4 linked regions of the Macaca fascicularis genome follow. The protein of the gene in region 4 interacts with the protein of the main gene of each other region in a pairwise test. Links are inferred from orthologs where the notes say so. Each region holds a gene or a part of one and is shown on either strand. Other genes may lie near its edges.

Region 1 (4,237 bases), on a different chromosome or scaffold from region 4:
TTTGGGAGGCTGACACAGACGGATCACTTGAGCCCAGGGGTTTGAGACCAACCTGGGCAACATGGGGAAACTCCATTCTCTACAGAAAATACAAAAATTAGCTGGGCGTGGAAGTGCGAGCCTGTATTCACAACTACTGGGGAGGCTGAGGTGGGAGGATCACCTGGGATGGGGAGGTCAAGGCTGCTGTGAGCTGAGATCACACCATTGCACTGCACACTGAGTGACAGACAGACCCTGTCTCAAAAAAAAAAAAAAAAAAAAAAAAAGGCCAGGCACGGTGGCTCAGGCCTATAATCCCAGCACTTTGGGAGGCTGAGGCAGGCAGATCGCCTGAGGTCAGCAGTTGGAGACCAGCCTGGCCAAAATGGTGAAACCCTGTCTCTACTAAAAATACAAAAATTAGCTGGGCGTGGTGGTGTGCACCTGTAGTCCCAGATACTAGGGAGGCTGAGGCAGGACAATCACTTGAACCTGGGGGGCAGAGTTTACAGTCAGCCAAGATAGCACCACTGCACTCCAGCCTGGGCAACAGAGCAAGACTCTGTCTCAAACAAACCACAACAACAACAACAAATGAGGAAAAAGTTCAACAGAAAGACCACCTGGAAAGGGGGTAAACAATATGAAGAGAATTCACCAATACAAGATCCACCCTCCAAAGAAAGACTAAAAAAATGACAAATTGCTCAACTTCATTCATAATAAAAAAAAGAAATATGAAAGTGCCTTCGGTTTTTACCCATCTAATTGGCAAAGATAAAACATTTGATAACACACTGTGTGGTTCAGGATGTAAGGAAATTGGCCGGGCGCGGTGGCTCACGCCTGTGATTCTCCTGTAAACGATACTCCTGCCTCAGCCTCCCGAGTAGCTGGGATTACAAGCATGCGCCACTAGGCCCAGCTAATTTTTTGTATTTTTAGTAGAGACGGGGTTTCACCATGTTGGGCAGGCTGGTTTTGAATTCCTGACCTCAGGTAATCCGCCCGCCTCGGCCTCCCAAAGTGCTGGGATTACAGGCGTGAGTCACCACGCCCGGCCTGTCCTATGGACTTTACAATTAATAACTTTTTAAATCATCACAATAGCTCAACGAGAGAGGTTGGTACTATTACCCATTTTACAATTGAGGACATTGAAGCGCAGAGCAGTTGAGAAACTTGCCTAACTGGCAGAGTTAGAATCCAGACAAAGTGCTTAACCACAAGGCGATGCTTCTTCTATATATAAACTGACGGACGGATGAAATAGGCTGATTGACTGATGACTGACTGACTGACTGAATTAATGAATACATGGAAATGTGATTATAAATGTTGATTTTTTGCGCCTTCCGATTCCCCGGATCTACCGCGAGGGGGCGATCTCTCCCCGGTCCTGATGCCAGTCACTCAAGGCGCGCACTCCCTTTGCGTCTCGGGCTCGCGCGCGTTGCCGCAGCACCGGAAGTGACTGAGCTTGCAAGTTCCCCCGTCTCTTCAGGGGAAACTGAGGCCGGCTTGTTCGGGAGAGACGGCGCGAGCAGTCAGCCAGGTAGGCCGGCAGCCAGGTAGGCCGGCCCGGGTCCGCGGCGCGGAACTCGGCCGCGAAGAGCTCTCGCGTCTGGAAGCTACCGGGCCGATGAAGGGGGATGTGGCCCCCCACGGCTCGCGGGGCTCACAGGTGAGAGCGCCGCCTCCCCTGTGCCTGACAGCCGCTGCGCCCAATAGGAGCCTTCGCCGTCCCGCTTCCGTGCCGGCTAGGCTCGCTGATTGGCGGCGCTGGGGAGGACCGCCGGGGGCGAGGCCCCTCCTCCTAGAAAGGTCTAGGGGGCGCCCCCGGGGGAGGGCGGTTGCTTAGCAACGGGGCGGTGGCTCGGCGGGTACCGGGCCTAGTGAGCGCGAGAAGCCGCGAGGCCGCAACCGGCCCACCCTGGGCTCCGGAGAGGTGCAGCCCCCGGCCCCGGAGCCCTCCCGGGGGCGCCAGGAAGCCACTTTGGGCCTGTCCCCAGGAAAACGTGGTCTCAGCTGTGGGGCCGTCGAGCAGGCCTCGACCCCTCTTCCTGACCTGAGGAGAGGCCCAGCGCCTCACCCTCACCCAGTCTTTGTGCAGGGCGCCGGCGGCCATTGTGTCCGGGCGGGGAATGGAGGACCCGGCAATTCCCCACCGCCACGTTCAGGGCCTTTGGGGAATTCAAAGAAAACCAGCGGCATTTGTGGGGGGTCTCCGGCCTTCAACCTCCCAGACAGGCCTGGGGGTGGCCTTCCCAAAGTCAGATCGCAGATCCGAGGCAGTTTCCCCCTCCCTGCGTCCCTCACCGAAACCTTGAACCCCATTGAGAAGTCCCTTCAGGGTTTCGGACGCCTCCACCTCACCCTGGGCTGGTACTTAAATAGAAAAAAGAAAGGAAAAAAAAAAACCAACTAAATCCATACCAGCCACCTCCGGGAGAGTTCTCCTGGCTCCCAGTAGGAGGCGGAGAGCCAAGGGGCGTGCAAGAGCGAGGGGGCTGGGCTCCCGGGTGGCAGGAGGCCGCGGCTGCGGAGCGGCCGCCCTCGATCCGGGCGATGGAGGAGGAAGCAAGCGAGGGGGCTGGTTCCTGAGCTTCGCAATTCCTGTGTCGCCTTCTGGGCTCCCAGCCTGCCAGGTCGCATGATCCCTCCGGCCGGAGCTGGGTTTTTTGCCAGCCGCCGCGAGGCCGGCTGAGTTACCGGCATCCCCGCAGCCACCTCCTCTCCCGACCTGTGATACAAAAGATCTTCCGGGGGCTGCACCTGCCTGCCTTTGCCTAAGGCGGATTTGAATGTAGGTGGTGCGGGGGAGAGGGAGTGAGGGGGGGACTGCCCAAGGGGTGACTTTCCGAGGAAGGCATTTCGGAGAAGAGGGGGGTAGAAAAGGCTGGTGGGAGATTCAGAGTCCACTGGTGCTTTCGATTTGACTTAATTGAAGTATCTTGGAACCTAGATCCAGACCTTCGTAAGACCCACAAAGAAACCAGTTCTGGTACCTGGAGGGGGAATGGGATGTTTAGGGTAAGTGGCATGCATATTAATTTTTTTTTTTTTCCTAAAGCTCTTTCTCTCCCTTCAGAATCTTATCTTGGCTTTGGATCTTAGAAGAGAATCACTAACCAGAGACCAGACTCAGTGAGTGAGCAGGTGTTTTGGACAATGGACTGGTTGAGCCCATCCCTATTATAAAAATGTCTCAGAGCAACCGGGAGCTGGTGGTTGACTTTCTCTCCTACAAGCTTTCCCAGAAAGGATACAGCTGGAGTCAATTTAGTGATGTGGAAGAGAACAGGACTGAGGCCCCAGAAGGGACTGAATCGGAGATGGAGACCCCCAGTGCCATCAATGGCAACCCATCCTGGCACCTGGTGGACAGCCCCGCGGTGAATGGAGCCACTGGCCACAGCAGCAGTTTGGATGCCCGGGAGGTGATCCCCATGGCAGCAGTAAAGCAAGCGCTGAGGGAGGCAGGCGACGAGTTTGAACTGCGGTACCGGCGGGCGTTCAGTGACCTGACATCCCAGCTCCACATCACCCCAGGGACAGCATATCAGAGCTTTGAACAGGTAGTGAATGAACTCTTCCGGGATGGGGTAAACTGGGGTCGCATTGTGGCCTTTTTCTCCTTCGGCGGGGCACTGTGCGTGGAAAGCGTAGACAAGGAGATGCAGGTATTGGTGAGTCGGATCGCAGCTTGGATGGCCACTTACCTGAATGACCACCTAGAGCCTTGGATCCAGGAGAACGGCGGCTGGGTAAGAACCAAGCCCCTTGTGTGTCCCTTTTCTTTGGCCTCTGGTCAGAGATCCCCAACTGCCCTTCTTCTGTATCTCTCTGTTAGGTTGGGTGATTGTTGGAGACATTGATAGTTGAGGAAACCTGATCTCATTTCACGACAAGAGGTTAACTCCCTGGAAATATAAATGACCCGGTGCTTCAGAGATCAGGCATCTTTTACCCTGGTCACCCCCATGACTCCACTATTCCATACTTGTGTTCCAGTTTCTTAGCAAAGAAAACTATAGCCTATGTGTTCATTAAGTCCCAAACCTGTGAGGGTAGGAAGTTAGTTTGGTGTTTCCCTTACCGTATACAATGGTTCACACACAAAAGGGTGATGAGTATCAGTGACCCACAGACCTCTCCATCTGTTCCCCCTAGGGGTCTCAGTCCTATCCTGGGCTTCTCTTCTCCAAATCAAGTTCCCTTGGCCGGGCGCGGTGGCTCAAGCTTGTAATCCCAG
Region 2 (3,982 bases), on a different chromosome or scaffold from region 4:
TTTCCCTCAGACCCCAGATCCCTCCCTCCAGCCTAGCCTTGGTCCCATAGGCTGGGCGTGCCTAGCTTTAACAAATTTATCTATTTGCTTATTTTTGAGATAGAGTCTTTCTCTGTCAACCACGCTGGAGTGCACTGGCGCGATCTCAGCTCACTGCAACCTCCCCCTCCCAGCCTCAAGCAATCCTCCTGCCTCAGCCCCCCAAATAGCTGGGACTATAGGTGTGCGTCACCACGCCTGGCTAATTTTTTTCCTTTTTTTTTTTTTGAGAGGGAGTCTTGCTGTGTCACCCTGGCTGGAGTGCAGTGGTGTGATCTCAGCTCATTGCAACCTCCACCTCCTGGGTTCAAGCAATTCTCCTGCCTCAGCCTCCTGAGGAGCTGGGACTACAGACAGGCGGCACTGCATCCGGCTAAGTTCTGTATTTTTAGTAGAGACAAGGTTTGGTCATGTTGGCCAGGCTGGTCTCAAACTCCTGACCTCAAGTGATCCACCTGCCTCAGCCTCCCAAATTGCCGGGATTACAGGTGTGAGCCACTGTGCCCGGCAGGAGTGCCTAGCTCTGTTTCCTCTCGGGGTCATTTCCTCTGTCCTGGCTCTTCCTCCACGTGTAATTTGGTTATGTTGCTGTTGGAGTCAGGCTGGGCATGGAGGCCCCAGGGCAGCAAGGATGTATGTCTTGTCCTAGGCAGCTGGCCCTCAAGTCCTGTTGTGTTCATGGTGACTCACCTGCAGAGTCCTGTGGAAAGAAGTAAGTGGCATGAGACTGGGTGCGGTGGCTCACTCCCAGCACTTTGGGAGGCCGAGGTGGGCAGGTCACCTGAGGTCAGGAGTTCGAGACCAGCCTGGCCAACGTAATGAAACCCCATCTCTACTAAAAATACAAAAAATTAGCCAGTTGTGGTAGGGGTGCCTGTGATTCCATGGCTCAGGAGGCTGAGGCAGAAGAATCTCTTGAACCCAGGAGGCGGAGGTTGCAGTGAGCCGAGATCGCCCCACTGCACTCCAGCCTCGGCAACAAGAGTGAATCTCCATCTCAAAAAAAAAAAAAAAAAAGTAAATGCCATGAAGTCACCCCCCTTGTCTTGTTCCCAAACCTGTCCCTTCTGATCTCAACCTTTTCACCTTCAGTCAGGACATAGGGAAATCCCATGACCTCTGAGCCTGTTTCCTCAACTATAAACTGGTAACAACCACTCATATATATATATTTTTTGAGATGGAGTTTTGCTCTTATTGCCCAGGCTGGAGTGCAATGGCTCAATCTTGGCTCACCGCTACCTCTGCCTCCCAGGTTCAAGCGATTCTCCTGTCTCAGACTCTTGAGTAGCTGGGATTACAGGCATGTGCCACCACGCCCAGCTAATTTTGTATTTTTAGTAAAGACGGGGTTTCTCCATGTTGGTCAGGCTGGTCTCTAACTCGCGACCTCAAATGATCTGCCCGCCTTGGCCTCCAAAGTGCTGGGATTACAGGCTTGAGCCACCGCGCCCGGCCAACAACTCATATTTTAAAAGATTGAGCTGATCCACATAAAGTGCTCAGAAAGGAACTTGTCATCTTCTTTTACAGCTGAAGAAACTTTCGTGTCTTGTAAGTTGCAAGCCAGGACTCAAACCCTGCTCTTGGGCCAACTCTGGGGCTTAACCTGACACGTTCCATTTCTGCCTTGTACCAAATTTGCTATTCATCTAGCAAAGCCTTAGCCACAGTGCCCCTCTGTTGGGCGGCCTTGTGTGATGACCCAGGGAAGCGATTGCTGGACCCCCTCAGAGCCCCTGTATCTGACAGTATTGTGGTTCCGGCTGCCTGCAGGCATAGAACCCCCGTCCCTGTCCAAGGGGTTCCCAGGGACCAGGAAAGGAGCCCTACCGTGCCTAGTAGCTCACTCCGCATCTCGCTGGTGTACCGCGCCCGTGACTGCAGATGCACCGTCTTTGTGGCGGGCACTCGCTCTCTGGCTGTGGTTGGCACACGGCCAGGGGCCAGGAACTGGTTGGCCAGTGCTTTCTCTGAGGAGGAGGTCTGCAAAAATGTGGGAAGAGAAGTCACTGGAGGGGCAGGTCCTGGGGACGAAAGTGAGCAGTGATGGGGGCTGAGGGGGAGGGGCACCCCTTCTCACCAGCTTCTCGGCTTGCAGCATCCCCTTCAGAAAATCCACCTTCCAGGAATATTCATTGATCACCTCAGAGGCCGGTTTGCTGGGAGGTAGGAAGAAGAAAAAGAAAACCTGTCCATGGTCCCCAGCTCAGGGAAGGGTCCCAGCTGGGACAGCGGTACTGGGATGTCCCAGAATAGCCACGTGCTGATGTGAAAGCAGTAAGGCTGCCTGCACTCACCTCGCGTGGACCTTCAGGGCCTGCAACATGTCCTCCAGGGCTCCCACGTACTGGGGAGGAAAAGTGGATTGTCACCCGGGGGTCGTTCCCACGTCCTGCTCATGGGAGTGGGGGGCGGGGCCGACAAATGGGAGGGGTCAAGCGCAAAGGAGGCGGGGCCAGTGGGGGAGGGGCGGAGTCCCAGGGACGGGGGCGGAAGCTACAGGTAGACGTGGCGGGACTGACCGGAAAGGGCGCTGCCCGAGAGGCTACTGGGGCAGGGGAGTCCGGCTAGGTGGCTTCCAACCCTAGGAACCACCCCCCGGGAGTCGGACTCTACGCGGCAGTGCGAGATCCCCTCACCTTCTCCAGGCGCCACTCGTCCGGGTCCCGTTTCTCCGCTGCCATCGCCTCGCAGCGGGATAGTAGCCGCACCAGGTTCAGCTCCAGCCTCGACGCCGCCATTATCGCCCGGTCCTACCCCGCCCCTTCCGCCGGCGCCATGTTAAGAGAGGGCGGAAGTGCCTTCAAGTGGCCTTCCGGGCGGATGTTTCGCCTGCTCCAGTTCGCTGGCCCATCTTTGTTTGGAGCAGAAGTAATACCTTGTTTTGAGGCGGGGCGCTGGGCCGGGCGCGCTGCCTCAGGGCTGTAATGCCAGCATTTTAGGAGGCGGAGTTGGGAAAGGATTGCTTGAAGCCAGGAGTTCGAGGCCAGCCCGGGCAATATAGCGCGACCCTACCTCTATTTTAAAAAAATAGGAGAGGCGCCACCCCATTCTTTCTTACTCAGGCGAATCACTTCCTTTTCTTCGAGAGCGTGTTAACCCTTCGGGAATGATAGGACGACCGGGATCTTCGGGTGTCAGACCCCCCTGCACTGTGCCCTCTTGTTCTGTTTTGCTTGCTCGAAGTACCTCCCCCCACCCCACTACTACCTGGATTCTTCCCAGTCGGAGCTGTTTCACCTCCGCGCGCCCTTCCCGATTTCTCTTGTAGGAGGGGCTCTAGCCTGGAATTCAGGAATCCAAGGCTTCCCCCACCTCAGCGGGGCTCATCCGTATTGTGGTTATGAGCTTCCAGGTCACAGCTCCAGCTCTGATTCCATCCCCGGCCCTGGGCGAGTTTAACTTTTCTTGATCCGTTTCTTACCCCGGGAAATGTACAGTGTGACAGTACCTGCCTCAAGGGTGATATGGGGCAGCTCTGCCTCAGAGTGAGCAAGGTGGGGCTGGGTCCCCCCTAACGCCCAGACCCCCGTGGAGAGAACCCCTTCCCAGCCCACCTCATTACCTGGAAGCTGAGTACCCCTATGCCTGCAGTGCCACGCTTCTGGAGTGAGAGGATGAGGGTGGGGGCTTCACAGGGACCAGGGCCTGGCATGCAGCCCTCATGTTTTCCCATACCTTAGATCACCTGTATCTTGGTCACACCAGTGGGCCTGATGTCCTTGAAAAATATCATAGACGGATGGGCGCAGTGGCTCACGCCTGTAATCCCAGCACTTAGGGAGGCTGAGGCAGGTGATCAACTGAGGTCAGGAGTTTGAGACCAGCCTGGCCAACATGGTGAAACCCCGTCTCTACTAAAAATACAAAAATTAGCTGGGTGTGATGGTGGGTGCCTGTGATCCCAGCTACTTGGGAAGCTGAGGCAGGCAAATCGCTT
Region 3 (4,248 bases), on a different chromosome or scaffold from region 4:
TCTCCATGTTGGCCAGGCTGGTCTCGAACTCCTGACCTCAAGTGATCCAGCCACCTCAGCCTACCAAAGTGCTCAATTACAGGCATGAGCCACCATGCCCGGCCAAAGCTCCCCCTTCTTTCTGGGAGAGAAAAGGATTAAGTATGGTAGAGCATATTCTCCAGTCCAAGTCTTGGGCCTCAGGCTGTGCCCAGCTTCCTGAAACAAAAGCGCTCACCCCCAGGGTGCTCAGAGGCCTACTTTATCTGACTGTTAACTAGCAAAACTAAACCAGCTACATTTTGCAAAATGCCATATGGATGTTCCAAACTGCATGTTTCAAGCTGGACGTGGTAGCTTTTTTTTTTTTTTTTCTTGAAACAGGGTCTCTGTTGCCAAGGCTGGAGTGCAGTGGCCTGATTTCTGGGCTCACTGCAGCCTCAACCTCTTGGGCTCAAGCCATCCTCCTGCCTCAGCCTCCCGAGTAGCTGAGACTACAGTAGTGGGACTACAGGTTTAGACACAGAGTTTGAGAGGGGAATCCATATCAGAACTTTATTCTAGAATGAAAACGTAAATGACATATTAGAGATTATTGAATACAAACCTCCTCATTGTTGATACCATGTCAAAAATTACAGGATTTCTGAGTTAAAGGCTTCTAAGGGGCCAGGCACAGGGGCTCACGCCTGTAATCCCAGGACTTTGAGAGGCCAAGGTGGGTGGATCACCTGAGGTCGGGGGTTCGAGACCAGCCTGACCAACATGGAGAAACCCCGTCTCTACTAAAAATACAAAATTAGCCAGGCTTGGTGGCTCATGCTTGTAATTCCGGCTACTCAGGAGGCTGAGGCAGGAGAATCACTTGAACCTGGGAGGTGAAGGTTACTTGAACCTGGAAGGTGGAGGTTGCAGTGAGCCGAGATCACGCCACTGCACTCCAGCCTGCACAACAAGAGTGAAACTCTGTCTAAAAACAAAAAACAAAAAACAAAGGCTTCAAAGGATTGTGGGTAAATTTCCAGAAATAACAACAATAAAGAGGGCAGGGAGTAGAGGTAGTAATATTCAACTTGTGAATAAAAACAGCCAAGCGTGCTACCTCACACCTGTAATCCCACTACTTTGGGAGGCCGAGGCGGGCGAATCACTTGAGGTCAGGAGTTTGAGGCCAGCCTGGCCAACATGGTGAAACCCCCGTCTCTACTAAAAATACAAAAAATTAGCCGGGCATGGTGGCAGGCACCTGTAATCCTAGCTATTCGGGAGGCCGAGGCAGGAGAATCACTTAAACCCAGAAGGCGGAGGTTGCAGTGGGCCAAGATCGCGCCATTGCACTCCAGCCCGGGCAATAAGACCGAAACTCTGTCTCCAGAAAGAAAAAAAAAAAAAAAAATTCCTTCTACGTATCCAGGGTACCTAGAGTAGTCAATTCATTGAGACGGAAAGCAGAAGGGTGGTTGCCAGAGGCGGAGGTGAAGAGGAATGGGGAATTAGAATTTAATGGCTACACCTTCTGTTTTGCAAGATGCAAAGAGTTCTGGAGATGGGTGGTGGGGATGGTTGTACAACAACGTGAATGTTCTTAATGCCACTGAACTGTACACTTAAACATAGTTAAGATGGTAACTTTTATGTGTATTTTGCCAGAATTTTTTAAAGTGGAGGGGAAGTGAGAAACAAGAAATCGCTCGACCTGCTGTTTTTCGTTTGAGGACCAGCATGGCATAGTGGCTAGGAACTAAGACCTTGGCGTCCTGAGTTCTCCTATCTGTTTTGCATTTACTAGCAAGGGGCCTCTGAACAAGTCACTTGATATCTCTGAGACTTTATTCATCCTTACAAACAGGAGTAATAATAGTTCTTATACAAGGTAACAGAATCTCACCAGCACAACAGTAAGCACTTGCTAAATTGTTCTTACTTTGAATTCTGGTAACAAATTTTATTATTTGATGATAGTTACTTAAAAGTCAGCAATAATTCAGGGACAATTGGTTGAATTATTAATATCATATTATCATCTAGGGCGATAAGCACATCAAACGGCTTCGTTTTAGGGGAAAAAGTGACCCAAGTTAGGAGTCAGAAGACATGGGCTTCAAGAGTGGCTGTGCGTGGTAGATTTCTGCTTGATGACACCCAAGGGTTGACGGAGATGACCTTAGATAACCAGAAAGCAAGATCGGCTTCGCTGCTCTGCGAAAGCCAGCAGTGGAGCTGCACCTCCCTCACCGCCTAAGTCTCCCGGGAACGTCCCGGGCGAGGGAAGGGGTCCAAAGGTCGTACATAAAGACTGATTGCAAAGCCCCTTCCTACGCTGGTGGCGGCAGCGTGGCGCAAGATTTGTGCAAGACTCCCTCGGATTGGGAGCAAGGGTCCCGCACCTTCGTGGCTTCCATGACAAAGTCTGCAACTCAGCCCGCCGGGGGAGCTACAAGGAACCTGCAAGCGTCCCAGCCCCTGCAGAGACCCCCCAAAAAAAGCACCCCCAAAACAGCCTGGGTTGCAGATTTATAAATACCTCCTCCGCACATGCGCATTGGAATTTACGAGTGGCCGGGGGCGCAACGCTTGCCCACTGCGCCTGCGCCGTCCGACTCTTCCTTCGGGGCACAGGACCAGAAAGTGGGGTCCCGTGGTCCCGCAAAGAAGGAAAAAGAATGGGTCAGCAGTGGCCACACGGTCCCTGTTTCTCGCTTCTTACCTCGTAGTGCTTCATGGCTCCCTCCCACGGCGGCTACTGCTCCGCGGCTGCTGCTGCCGAACTGCGCGGCACAGGACAGGATACCCAGAGCGCTCGCGACCGCTGCGCTAGACTAAACGCGGCTGTGCGTCCGCCCCGCCCCTCCCGGCCGCGCGCGCCCCGTCGGCCAATCAGGGCACGAGGCGCCCACCTTCGCCCCTTCTCCTTGGGGACGGTCCGAACCAAGACTAGGGCTAGCACCAGGGATTGACCAATCAGCTTGCGAGAGCCACCGAAGGGGGCGTAGCGCCTGTAGGAGGGGCTAAAGAGAAGGGGCTTGACCATCCGCCAATCCAAAGGAGGCCTCTGCGCCGCGCGTCCCTTTGCCACGCCCCCTGATGGCGTCGCTGTGGAAACCAAGGTAAGCGACCGTTAGGCCAGACGGGGGGGCGGGGCAAGAAGTTGAGTGACAGGCAAGGCAGCATCCACATGACAGGCGGCGCCGACGGGGTAAATTCTGAGGTGGGAGGCTCCCGGGGTACAGCGGGAACAGCAGGAGAGGGCTAGGGACTGGGGTCGCGGGCTGCGGAGTCTGGATGGCGATGCCACTACGGGAGGAGACTCTTGAGTGGAAGGGAAGGAAGGGGGAAATGGGGTGGCGAAAAGCTCCCCATTTGGGAACCCCCAACCTGCAACCTTGAGCCCCAGCCCCATTCTGGGGGTGGCTTCACTGCCGTTTTTAATGAAAGCCCCCGCCCCACTTTGTTTTTTTGTTTTGTTTTGTTTTTGAAACACTTTCATTCTGTCCCCCAAGCTGGAGGGCAGTGGCACAATGACGGCTGACCGCAACCTCTGCCTCCTAGGTTCAAGCGATTGTCATGCCTCAGCCTCCCGAGTAGCTGAGATTACAGGCGCCCGCCACCACGCCCGGCTAATTTTTGTATTTTTTTAGTAGAGAGGGGTTTCACCATGTTGGCCATGCTGGTCTTGAACTCCTGACCTCAGGTGATCCTCCCGCCTCAGCCTCCCAAAGTGCTGGGATTACAGGGGTGAGCCACCGCGGCCGGCTCCCTCCTCACTTTGCTCCGTCCTATGGACAGGGGAACTACATTTGTCTCTGCTTGACTTGGTCCAGAATGCTGTCTAGTGGCTCCACGGGGCCACTGAGCCCTTGAAATGGGGCTGGTCTAGGCCAGGCACGGTGGCTCACGCCTGTAATCCCAGCACCTTGGGAGGACAAGGGGGGCATATCACCAGGTGAGGAGTTGGAGACCAGCATGACCAATATGGTGAAACCCCGTCTCTACTGAAAATACAAAAATTGGCCGGGCGCGGTGTCTCAAGCCTGTAATCCCAGCACTTTGGGAGGCCGAGGAGGGCGGACCACAAAGTCAGGGGATCAAGACCATCCTGGCTAACACGGTGAAACCCCGTCTCTACTATAAATACAAAAAATTAGCCGGGTGTGGTGGCGGGCGCCTGTAGTCCCAGCTACTTGGGAGGCTGAGGAAGGAGAATGGCGTGAACCCAGGAGGCGGAGTTTGCAGTGAGCTGAGATCCGGCCACTGCACTCCAGCCTGGGC
Region 4 (4,227 bases):
GAAGCTGTACTTTGTTCTGAAGCTCCATATTCTGGGCTGTGTATTTCAAGACCCTGGGGGAAATAACAAAGATATGGGGATATGGCCTGTGTCCTCCCTTCAAAAACCTAACACTTAAAACTGAGTCCCTCTCCCTTTCATACCTGCTCTCTAAACCCCCAACATACACCTTCTTTTTCCTGCGGCTCTCTTGAGCAGATCTTTTATTTCGAATCTTCCTCCGCACACGTTTCAGAATTTGTTCCTCCATCTGAAAGGAAACAGGGAAAGGGGTATCATTAGAGGGACTCTAGAACAAGAAGTTGAAAGGCAACTGAGATCCATCTCTTTCCAATACAGAAATCCCTTCTACAGCTTCCCTGACCAATAGGCATTCACATTCTTTCTGAATGCCTCCACGGAGCACGTGTTAACCCTAACAAGCCAGACCATTTTAAACTATTAAAAAAAAAAATTGGTCAGGCAATATTCAAGTGACATGGCTCATGCCTGTAATCCCAACACTTTGGGGAGCTAAGGCAGGAGGACCGCTTGAGCCCAGGAGTTTGAGACCAGCCTGAGCAACACAGTGAGACCTTGTCTCTACTAAAAATAAATTAGCCGGGTGTGGTGGCACATGCCTGTGGTCCCTGCTCCTCAGGAGGCTGAGGAAGGACAATCGCTTGAGCCTGAGAGGTCAAAGCTGTAGTGAGCCATGATCTCACCACTATTCTCCAACCTGGGCAGTAAAGCAAGAATCTGTCTTCAAACAAAAACTTCCTTATCCTGAACCAACAGCTGTCTCCTTATAATTTCTATACGTTGGACTTACCTAGTATCTCTGGGGCCAAATAGAATGAACCCTGTTAAGCTATTTTCAGGCATTTGACATTTCCTCAGAGAAAAAAAGTTCAAGAAAAAAACAGCTTAGACAAAAATTTTAACTCATCTTCTTAGGATAGACTGCATCTTCTTAGTATCTGTCAAAGATGTGCTCTAGCCAGTATAAAGGAAAGCAAGATAGTGACTTGTGGAGACAATAACTCTTGCTACAGTTTCCAAATCCCATTAACTTTCCTAGTAGCCACATCGCACTGCTGACTCATCTTGTACTTTGAAGGAATTAAAATTCTTTACTTTTGGAGGCCAAGGTGGGTAGATCACTTGAGCACAGGCGTTCAAGACCAGCCTGGCAACAAGGCAAAACCCCATCTCTACTAAAAACACCAAAAAAAAAATTTGCCGGGCAGGGTGGTGTGCACCTGTAGTCTCAGCTACTCAGGAGGCTGAGGTGGGAGAATCACCTAAGCCCAGAAATTCAAGGCTGCAGTGTGCCATGATCACATCACTGCACTCCAGCCTGTGCAACAGAACAAGACCTTGTCAAAAAAAAAAAAAAAAATTCCTGGAACCTTTCTATTAATGAGCACTGATTTCATCATAGTATCCCAGTACTCTGCTTGTGAAGTTGCCACTGATTGCTTAAAACTGGAAACTAAGGATTTTGCATTTATTCATGTACTGCTTAGTCCAATCGTGTTGAACTCTCTAAACAGTTCTACCATTCAGCAAGAGGTGGATTACTATGAAGCCAATGAAGTGTCAAGGCCCTTCACTTACACAGTCCTTTCCAAGGCCCAATACTAATGTTGCACTGATAATTTTGAGGGTTTTTTTTTGTTTGTTTTTTAACAGAACACCAAAATTTGTGTAAGCCCAACGAAAATGAGGATCTGCCTTGCATCTAGCATATTGGGTACCTGCCTCAACTTCCTATTAGCAATAAATCTGCTAAGTTTCTCACCTCAATCCTTTTTTAAAGTTATTGATATAAAGTTAACAGAATTGGCCTACTTGAGACTTTTAATCCCTTTTCAGCCTTTGCTCAACTAACGAGAGTCTTACCTTAGTGAGAGGAAGTGTCTCAGGCAGAATAAGCCCCTCCTTCTCCAATAGACTCTTCTCCTCATCTGTCAGTACCAGCCTAACAATATCCTAGGGTAACCAGAAAGTGGGCGGCAGTTGCATGGGGATGTCACAGAGGAATGGGGAATCCTGCCCCCACCTGAGGAATGTGAGAGTAATCTTCCTGAAAATCAAGTCAAGTACCTGCTCTGCCAGCTCCTCCATATGCTGTGGAGTCATCTGGGTCCCCTCTTTTCTACAGCTCTCACTCTCTGCAAAAGGGAACGTATGAATAGCCAGGCCCATGAACCCTGTCCTCCCCGCAAACTTATTTCAGACTCACCTAGATCCATAGAGACAGGTTCTCGTGGGAGGGAGTAGGTGTGGTCATGGTGGACAAGGCAGGGGTTGGAGTTGCTGAGAACGTTCAACGACGACGCTGGGGGACTCAGCAGGGAGCTCAGCAAATCATCTACCTCCCAGTCGCTCGGTACCTGCGCAGGGTTCCAGTGAACAGGCCTTGACCTATCACCATCCCCTGACCTCATGGACATCCCACGCTTTCCCCAGTCAGAACCCCAACGCACCTCAGAAAGCGGCAGCTCCCAGTCCAGTGGGGCCCTCACGGACTCATCGGGCGCCGTCCTCAAATCTCCACTTTCCTCTAGCAGGAAGCCCAGTAGGTCTTGGTCACCAGCGTCCAATTCCAGCTCCATTTGGGACAACTACGGAAAGGGTGGGCTACCGGGCCCCAACGTCCGAAGCCCAGACACGAGCCCCAGGCCAGCTGTAGGCCTCGGGCACCTATCCACTGTCCCTCTACGGCCGGGCTTCCCGGCCGGGGGCTTTCCGTAGCCCTCTCCGGACCCGCCTCCCAGGCTCAATTCTCCTCAGCCTCCAACGCAGCGAAAGTGACGCACCCCACCCCGTGGCACTGTGGGACTTGGAGTTCCCTCCAACTGAGAAGAGGCCTGGGTGCCGCGCCACGTCCCAGGGGCTATGCAAATGTAGGGGACGGCCCTGCTGCCGCCTCGCACCCCGAGGGCGGGGGTTCCAGGGCTCCGGCTCCGCCTTCTCCCCCAAGCTAGAAAAAGGAAGAGTTCTGGCCTGAAAGGGAACTCGGGCGTCGTCTTGGCGTTCTCTCCGGATTGCGCCGCACCCTCGCTTCCTGCCAGGGAGGGGCTGCCGGCCTTTGGCGGCCCCCGAGCATCGAGAACGCGGCCAGAGCAGCTTCCTGCCTGCCCCCCGCGACCATAGAGCGCTGCCCCAGGGCGCCGCCCGCGGGTGGGGGACGTTCCCAGGACGGAAGTGGCCGAGAGAGTGTCGAAGGGAGGGCGAGGCCGGAGCCCGAGGGCGACCCGAGAAGCGGCAGGGCAGCGGGCCGGCGGGCCGGCAGGCGGGGCGCAGAGCCGGGCAGCGCAGGTAGGCCAGACCGGGCCGGGCGGGGGCCTTAGGGTGGGGCCGCGGAGCCTGGCCCCGGGGGCGGGCGGGGCCCTGCCTCTCCTGCGTGTCCGGTTCGGGTTCTGTTAGTTGGAGAGGTCAGCGTCCAGCGCATCTCAACTTGGGCTCATCGTGAAGTAGGCCGTCTTAGGGGAGACAGGCCTCTCCTGGGGGCAGTCCTCTGCCTGGGATAGGCTTTGGGGAGCGTGAGGAGTCGGGTGGCAGCGGGGCGCAGGACGGGGACGGGCTTTGGTGTTAGCTGATAGCGGCCATGTGGGTAGGAAAGCTTTGGGTGAGTTGGGGATTAGGTGGGGTCCGTTTAGGAATCAAGGGTCGCTATAGGAGTTAAAAGCTGGGGTTAAAACTTAAGAGTTAGTAGTGTGAGTCAGGTCCGTTTTAGGTAGGTAAGGTTTAGATTAAGGTCATTATTTTGTTTGCTGGGATGGCCATCATACGTCATAATTTGAGTTCAGGGTCGGGTTAAGGGTCAACAACAGGAATCAGGTTAGAGCCTGTTTGAGGGATTAAAGAATGTTGACATGGTCGGTATTAAGGATAAACAGTGAAAGTGTGAGTTAGGAATCAAGTTACAAATGAACTTTAGGCTTAGGGGTCAACATTTAGGGTTAACATCAGGCGATTTGGTGCTAAAGGTAAAACTTAGATCAGTATCAGGGATCAGGGATTGGATATGAGTCTCTGCTGGGAAAGGGATGAATGTCCAAGCCGGTAGTGGGAATCAGGAAACAAATTAGAGGTGGGGTTAATGTTAGGAATTTGGGGCAACTTTAGGGGTTGTAATTGAGGCTAGCATAGTTGGCCTTGAGCAGATGAAATTTAAGAGGTTGGCAGTAGGTAAATGCCCTTCTTTTGTAGGGAAGTCCTTTATTCCTGTGTAGTTAC

Evidence for each region.
Region 1: the proteins of CREB3 (region 4) and BCL2L1 interact in a two-hybrid assay, tested with the Homo sapiens proteins (2 studies listed by BioGRID and IntAct). The two-hybrid records come from large-scale screens. The link is inferred for Macaca fascicularis from reciprocal best matches to the Homo sapiens genes CREB3 and BCL2L1.
Region 2: the proteins of CREB3 (region 4) and USE1 interact in a two-hybrid assay, tested with the Homo sapiens proteins (3 studies listed by BioGRID and IntAct). The link is inferred for Macaca fascicularis from reciprocal best matches to the Homo sapiens genes CREB3 and USE1.
Region 3: the proteins of CREB3 (region 4) and TECR interact in a two-hybrid assay, tested with the Homo sapiens proteins (2 studies listed by BioGRID and IntAct). The two-hybrid records come from large-scale screens. The link is inferred for Macaca fascicularis from reciprocal best matches to the Homo sapiens genes CREB3 and TECR.

Annotation. Positions count from the first base shown.
Region 1 is NC_088384.1:87,809,798-87,814,034, reverse strand, and holds the start of BCL2L1 (bcl-2-like protein 1), read left to right. Parts: upstream 1-1,437; 5' UTR 1,438-1,553; exon of another isoform or gene 1,554-1,666; intron 1,667-2,537; exon of another isoform or gene 2,538-2,788; intron 2,789-3,055; exon of another isoform or gene 3,056-3,073; 5' UTR 3,074-3,185; coding exon 3,186-3,749; intron 3,750-4,237. UniProt on the Homo sapiens protein: Potent inhibitor of cell death. Inhibits activation of caspases. Appears to regulate cell death by blocking the voltage-dependent anion channel (VDAC) by binding to it and preventing the release of the caspase activator, CYC1, from the mitochondrial membrane.
Region 2 is NC_088393.1:17,532,201-17,536,182, reverse strand, and holds the start of USE1 (vesicle transport protein USE1), read right to left. Parts: upstream 2,801-3,982; 5' UTR 2,784-2,800; coding exon 2,682-2,783; intron 2,390-2,681; coding exon 2,340-2,389; intron 2,202-2,339; coding exon 2,123-2,201; intron 2,026-2,122; coding exon 1,873-2,025; intron 740-1,872; coding exon 730-739; intron 1-729.
Region 3 is NC_088393.1:14,967,239-14,971,486, reverse strand, and holds the start of TECR (very-long-chain enoyl-CoA reductase), read right to left. Parts: upstream 2,801-4,248; 5' UTR 2,702-2,800; coding exon 2,687-2,701; intron 1-2,686. UniProt on the Homo sapiens protein: Involved in both the production of very long-chain fatty acids for sphingolipid synthesis and the degradation of the sphingosine moiety in sphingolipids through the sphingosine 1-phosphate metabolic pathway.
Region 4 is NC_088389.1:63,665,254-63,669,480, forward strand, and holds the start of CREB3 (cyclic AMP-responsive element-binding protein 3), read right to left. Parts: upstream 2,801-4,227; 5' UTR 2,601-2,800; coding exon 2,472-2,600; intron 2,379-2,471; coding exon 2,228-2,378; intron 2,157-2,227; coding exon 2,089-2,156; intron 1,975-2,088; coding exon 1,885-1,974; intron 251-1,884; coding exon 144-250; intron 54-143; coding exon 1-53. UniProt on the Homo sapiens protein: Endoplasmic reticulum (ER)-bound sequence-specific transcription factor that directly binds DNA and activates transcription. Plays a role in the unfolded protein response (UPR), promoting cell survival versus ER stress-induced apoptotic cell death.